2 linked regions of the Sus scrofa genome follow. The protein of the gene in region 2 interacts with the protein of the main gene of each other region in a biochemical or structural test. Links are inferred from orthologs where the notes say so. Each region holds a gene or a part of one and is shown on either strand. Other genes may lie near its edges.

Region 1 (3,653 bases), on a different chromosome or scaffold from region 2:
GGTGCAGCTTTGATCCCTGGCCTCGCTCAGTGGGTTAAGGTTCTGACGTTGCTGTGAGCTGTGCTGTAGGTCGAAGACACGGCTGGGATCCTGCATTGCTGTGGCTGTGGTGCAGGCCAACAGCTACAGCTCAGATTCAGTCCCTAGTCTGGGAACCTTCATATGCTACAGGTGCGGCCCTAAAAACAAAGCAAAACAAAAAAATATGAGCCAAGTGTACAGAGCAACCTGTACCCGACGAGCAGACATCAGGGCTACACTCGTTGTCTAACAGAATCCAACCCCCTGGCATGAAGTAGAACATTGTGGCTATTTCAGCCTATCATCCGATGAGAAAGCGTGGTTTCAAGGTGGAATGAAGGCTGAGTTCCCATTGTGGCTCAGTGGTAACAAAGCCGACGAGCACCCATGAGGACGTGGGTTCGATCCCTGGCCTCGCTCAGTGGGTTAAGAATCCACCATTACTGTGAGCTGTGGTGTAGGTCGCAGATGTGGCTGGGATTCGGCGTTGCTGTGGCTGTGGCGTAGGCCGGCTGCTACAGCTCTGATTCAGCCCTTAGCCTGGGAACTTCCATGTGCTGCAGGCGTGGCCCTAAAAAGCAAAAAAAAAAAAAAAAAAAAGCTGGGGGGTGCTTATTATGTATTCTTTTTTTTAAATTTTGACTTTTTCCATTATAGCTGGTTTACAGTGGTGTTTTTTTTGTTTTTTTTTTTTTTCTCGGTCTTTTTGCCTTTTCTAGGGCCCCACTGAGGCACATGGAGGTTCCCAAGCTAGGGGTCAAATGGGAGCTAGAGCTGCCAGCCTACACCAGAGCCACAGCAACATGGGATCTGAGCTGCGTCTGTGACCTACACCACAGCTCACGGCAATGCCAGATCCCGGCAATGCCAGATCCTTAACCCACTGAGCAAGGCCAGGGATCAAACCTGCAACCTCATAGTTCCCGCTTGTACGCGTTAACCACTGAGCCACGACAGGAACTCCTACAGTGTTCTGTTTTATTATGTATTCTTGAATTTACGTCTCAGTTTCAGTACCCAGGGCTTGGCTTTTGTCTTGTGCCTACACTATTGCCTTTCTTGGCTTTCTAGAGCTGTGGCTTGCCCTGGGCCTGGGCAATGAACTCCTGCCCCTCAAGGCCAGCTCTCCCAGTGGCTAAGCTTGGCTATCGGCGAGGAAACTTCTCCAGGGTCTGGGTCTGCACCCCCTGCCTGATGCAAAGCCCATGAGTCCCTGGCTCCACCTCCAGTTACTCCTAACTCTGTCCTCTCCCTGGCCCCCATCTGTGTAGGCGCCAAGTCCTGGCTTAGCACCTAAACTTCCACCTCTTAATTCTACCTTCCAGAGAGTTCACTGTCAAAACATACGCATCTACCCTTTTTTGGCCAAAGTTTCTACTCTCCCTGTTCCTATCAAGAAGGTTCCTAGCCCAGAAATTTCAGTTGCCCAACTCTTATTAAAAATTCAGTCAGCGACCCCTAGCCTGGGAACCTCCATATGCCGCGGGAGTAGCCCAAGAAATAGCAAAAAGACCAAAAAAAAAAAAAAAAAAAAATTCAGTCAGGAGTTCCCATCGTGGCTGAGTGGTTAACGAATCCGACTAGGAACCATGAGGTTTCGGGTTAGATCCCTGGCCTTGCTCAGTGGGTTAAGGATCTGGTGTTGCTGTGAGCTGTGGTATAAGTTGCAGACTCTGCTTGGATCCCACATTGCTGTGGCTGTGGTGTAGACCAGCAGCTGCAGCTCTGATTCCACCCCTAGCCTGGGAACTTCCATATGCTGTGGGCATGGCCCTAAACAGCAAAAAAAAAAAAAAAAAGTTTCTTGATGTTTTAGTAGGGAACATGAGTGACAGAATTTGTATAAATTTAAATGTGATCTATTCTCTGCTGAGCGTTCTTTAGTTATTTTATCTAATCACCAAGCTGAAGAACTGGAGTTTATAATTCCTGCTTCCACCGGCCCCTCACGGGGGAGTCACTTTTCCGCAAGTGCACTTTGCCATGATCCTCAGCTTAAACGAAGAAGAGCCCATACAAAGCTAGGGGTCAAATCAGAGCTGTAGCCGCCAGCCTACACCACAGCCACAGCAACTTGGGATCCGAGCCGCCCCTGCGACCTACAGCACAGCTCACAGCAACGCTGAATCCTTAACCCACTGAGCAAGGGCAGGGATCGAACCCGTGACCTCATGGTTCCTAGTCGGATTCGTTAACCACTGCGCCACGACGGGAACTCCTATTTCTTAATTTAAATTTTATTTTGTACTGGGGTATAATTGATTAACAAGGTTGTGTTAGTTTCAGGTGTACAGCAAACTGATTCAGTTATGTGTACGCATATATCCATGTTTCTTCAGATTCTTTTCCCATATAGGTTCCTGAAACGAGTTCCCTGTGCCATACAGCAGGCCTCTCTTTCTAATCCTATGAATCAAAGTGAAGAAAGACATTACACGGAAGCTCTGCTTATCTAAACTTCTCTCCCCTGTTTCTCCGTCCCTTTGTGGGTAAGCCTAGCATCTTCCAGTCTCTCTGAATCCAGACTGTGACTGAATCCCAGTGGCCACCTCCATCAGTCTTCTGATTGCTCACTCTTGCCCCTCTTCTGGCTGAAAGCAATGGCCTCTGTACATTTCTGTACCAACACATAGAGAGTCATCTCAAGGGGAGTTGCCGATGTGGCTCAACAGTAACAAACCCGACTAGTATCAGCAAGGATGCAGGTTGATGCCTGGCCTCGCTCAGTTGCCTAAGAATCTGGCATTGCTGTGAGCTGTGGTGTAGGCCGCAGACACAACTCAGATCCTGCATTGCTATGGCTGTGGTGTAGGCTGGCAGCTACAGATGACCCCTAGCCTGGGAACCTCCATGTACAGAGGGTGTGGCCTTAAAAAAAGCAAAAAAGAAGTTCCCGTCATGGCACAGTAGAAACAAATCTGACTAGGAACCATGAGGTTGCAGGTTTGATCCCTGACTTCATTCAGTGGACTAAGGATCCGGTGTTGCCGTGAGCTGTGGTGTAGGTCAGCGGCTGTAGCTCCGATTCAACCCCTGGCCTGGGAACCTCCACACGCCGTGGATGTGGCCCTGAAAAGACAAAAGACCAAAAAAAAAAAAAAAAATTATAATTGTTATGATGCAATCGGAGTACGTACTTGCTGAAAAAGTGCGGACAGGGCTGTGGGTATAACGTAAAAACGTACAGCATCCTCTACCAGGTTCCGGCCCCACGGTAACCAGGCAGGCATCAGAGTTTCTTCGGAAGTTGGGTAGTTTACACAAGAGTGTCCACAAGGAGGCAGTGTACTCACCTTCTCCCCATATCGAACCCATGTGTTAGGTCCGCTCTTCCAGTACCAAACCCATTTCGTGGTGAAGACAGTACCGGGCGGCCTCGTGACAGATGAAGGCGTGGAGAGGCGTCGGATGGGATTATAATCACAAGTCATCTCCTGGAAATTGAGTTTATAATTTCCAATAGAAAGGCTGAGAAGGGAAAGCTCAGTGTTAACAACATGCTTCCCTGAAGCAAAACGCTTGTTTTCTATACTTTCCACACCGTGGTCGTCCCTGATAAGAGGACAGAATTCAAACTGGAGGGCTGAAGGGGACCTCTGAATTTCCTGTATGCAGCTTGCAAGGAAAAACTG
Region 2 (3,653 bases):
GAAGCTGCAAGAGGCAAGGAAGGACTCTTCCCCAGAACTTTTGGAAGGAGTATGACCCTGTTGACACTTAGGAGGTCTGGCCTCCAAAACTGTGAGAGACCACACTTCCGTTGTCATAAGCCAAGTTTGTGCTAAGTTGTTTCAGTAGCCCTAGAAAATGAATACACTTTAAAAAATAAACAGATGCAACTTTTCCTTCCTGTCTTTCTCCCACTTAACTCATTACCACTTTTTATATTACTGTTTTCACTCTACTTTTTTTTCTTTTTTCTTTTTTTAATTTTATAGCCACACCCACAGCATGTGGAAATTCCCAGGCCAGGAGTCAAAACAGAGCTGCAGTTGCCAGCCTACACCACAGCCACAGCAATGCCAGATCCAAGCTGCATTTTCTTTTTTTCTTTTTCTTTTTCTTTTTTTTTTTTGTCTTTTTGGCATTTCTTGGGCCGCTCCCACGGCACATGGAGGTTCCCAGGCTAGGGGTCGAATCGGAGCTGTAGCCACCAGCCTACGCCAGAGCCACAACAACGCAGGATCCGAGCCGAGTCTGCGACCTACACCACAGCTCACGGCAACGCCGGATCCTTAACCCACTGAGCAAGGCCAGGGATCGAACCCGCAACCTCATGGTTCCTGGTTGGATTCATTAACCACTGAGCCACTACGGGAACTCCCCAAGCCGCATTTTTGACCTACACTGCCAACGAGGGATGCTTAACCTATTGAGCAAGGCCAGGGATGGAACCCACATCCTCATGGAGACTACATCGGGTCCTTAACCCTTGGAGCCACAAGAGGAATGCCTAACCCTAATTTTTAATGATTCCCTCCACCCAAAGCTGGGCTGTAGGAAGGTTTTGGGTCTGTCAAGGATCTCTCTGAGCACATAGCTTTTTGCATGTTTTCAAAGGCTGATGTTTACGTCTGACACTGTGAGTGAACCCAACATGAGCCATGGGGCAGTCAGGGCTGAGCCTGTCCTGCCTGGAGGAGGAGGGAGGCTGCAGAGCCAGGCTGTTGGTGGGAAGCCTCGTCACTCACCCGCACATCCTGCTGTTTAGCTCTCACGTCCTCCAGCGCTCTCGATGCACCGTTGATCTGACTGTACATGATAGTCAGTTTATGCCTCAGCTTGTTCTATGGAGGAAACAAACCAGGTGAGAAAACACCTCGTCCCAGACGCCACCAGCACTGGACGCCAGGGACCACCCCGAGTCTACCCCACAGATGTTTCCACGTCTTGACTGTTGTAGCTTTTTTTTGGAGGGGGGGAACATTCTCATATTTACCCCCCTCCCTTCATCCTTTCTGGGGGCCAGGACAATAAAGAAGTTACAAGCATAGGATTTGGAGCCAGACAGTCTAGACTCCCAGCTATCCAGCTGCCTCCCACCTATGTCCTTGGCCATGAAACAGATGCAACTGTTTCCACCCTGCAGGGCTAGTAGGGGGATTATCTGAGGCCGTAGCACAGCACCTAGATCTACAAGGACAAATGTCCTTAGTAAATCTCAGCTTGGGTTATTCTGGGCTTCTCCGCAGATGATGAAACTGAGGAAAGAAGACAGCAAGGTGCCCAAGCTCACAGAGACAGAATGAGCTGGGACAGCTGCTTCAGTGAGGGGCAGAGGAGGGTGTTCAAACCAACCCTCCCACTGCAAACAGCCAGAAAGGCAGACACAATATGGGGGGAGGGGGTCCTACTAAAAACCAGTGAGGAGCTAACAAAGCAGGGAAGGATTATGTGATAAGATCCAAGAAGGAGTTCCCACTGGGGCTCAGTGAAAACGCATCGGACTAGGAACCATGAGGTTGCGGGTTCAATACCTGGCCTCACTCAGTGGGTTAAGGATCTGGTGTTGCCGTGAGCTATGGTGTAGGTCGCAGACGTGGCTTGGATCGTGCGTTGCTATGGCTGTGGTCTAGGCCAGAGGCTAGAGCTCCGATTCGACCCCTAGCCTGGGAACCTCCATATGCCGTGGGTGCGGCCCTAAAAAGACAAAAAAAAAAAAATCCAAGAGAAGGAAACCCAGAGATAAGCCTGGCCTCGGGGGTTGTTCTCCCAGAACCACCTGCTCGTTCCGATGTCAGCCTCAGAGAGGCAGGGAGACACAAATCAGAGTCCAAAGCTCACTTGTAAGGGCCACAGGCAGGGAGGGCTACACCATAGGAATAAGGATGAAGCGGCAGAAGACCGGCTCACCAACAGCTCAATCCCTGAAACTGAATTAAGGGGATTCAGCATCGCTGCTAAGCCCCTAGCCACCTTCAGATACAAAGGTAGATTATGCAAGATGGAAGTTAATACTATCTGAAGCCTCTTAGTATTTCCATAAATTTCCATAATCAGTATCTGAATTTCACCCTTCTCAGGCAAAATGTTGGGGCATAGAACTGAGTAGGAAAATCACCACCACAATAATGGCAGCTAATGTTTATCATGTACTTACTCCAAGCCAGGCATTGTTCTCGGTTTTCCACATATTAACTATGTAAAGCTAAAAACAACACGAGGAGGTAAGGGTTATCCATCCTTTATAGATGATCACTGAAGCACAGAGTATTTAAGTGGCTTGCCCCAGGTCACATCGCGATTCATGGGTGTTACAATTACAGACTCATGTCCAAACTAAGCACACGGGAAATTTCTAGGGAAAAAAATATATGTTCCCTAACAGGCTGGCTCAACAATACTCTGGCCCTCTCTTCCATTTCATGGCCTTTCCCACTCCACCAGAGCTCTGCAGGGCTGAACCTGACCTTGACTCTTGAACAACCCAGTGACAGTCACATGTAACAGCTGGAAGAGACCAAGGCCAACCTAATTCAACCCAAAAGCCCAAGTCACTGATGACATTTCAGATGTGACCTCTGTAACAGTGTGCTTTGACCTGGCCTCTAACAGTGGCCAAGATAAACTATTGGCCAAAGGCAGAAGGTCAGGCCCAGGAGTTCCCATGGTGGCGCCGTGGTAATGAACCCCACTGGTATTCAAGAGGACACAGGTTCGATCCCTGGCCTTGCTCAGTGGGTTAAGGATCCGGTGTTGCCATGAGCTGTGGTATAGGTCGCAGACATGGCTGGGATCCTGTGTGGCTATGGCTGTGGCGTAGGCCAGCAGCTGCAGCTCCGCTTCCACCCATACCTGGGAACTTCCATAAACCACAGGTGTGGCCGTTAAAAAAAAAAGGTCAGGCCCAGGAAGATCTGGTCTCACTGGTCTTGGAGTTGGAAGAGACCTCAGGACACCTGGGAGCTACCAACGGTTTCACCTCCAAGACCCACTGTTAGCAAGACCCTGAACTTATTATTCTGAAAGATTTTGCCCACCATTAATCAACTGTATACAACAGTCCCCTGATGGTAGACGGCTATAGACAAAAAGAAAGCCGCCAAGATGTTGATAGCAGCGACAATGCCCGAATCAAGGGAAGGGGATTTTTCGAAGTTCTGAGGATCCCTTCACAAACTGGGGATTTGATGCCTCGATGTGGGACCCAGAGGCCCGAGTCCACCCCGCACCAGTGACTGAGCCAAGCTGGGCCGGCTTTGGCTCCACCACCAGTACGGACCAGCAGTAGGGCTGGAAAAGGAGAGGGTTAAAGGTCACAGCCAGCTAGGACACTGGGAGGTAGTGGAGGTGGGGGGAGGGG

Evidence for each region.
Region 1: of the proteins of TRIM25 (region 2) and ZC3HAV1, one has a biochemical effect on the other in vitro, tested with the Homo sapiens proteins (2 studies listed by BioGRID). The link is inferred for Sus scrofa from reciprocal best matches to the Homo sapiens genes TRIM25 and ZC3HAV1.

The regions. Positions count from the first base shown.
Region 1 is NC_010460.4:10,567,664-10,571,316, reverse strand, and holds part of ZC3HAV1 (zinc finger CCCH-type antiviral protein 1), read right to left. Parts: intron 3,490-3,653; coding exon 3,315-3,489; intron 1-3,314.
Region 2 is NC_010454.4:33,205,939-33,209,591, forward strand, and holds part of TRIM25 (E3 ubiquitin/ISG15 ligase TRIM25), read right to left. Parts: intron 1,138-3,653; coding exon 1,038-1,137; intron 1-1,037.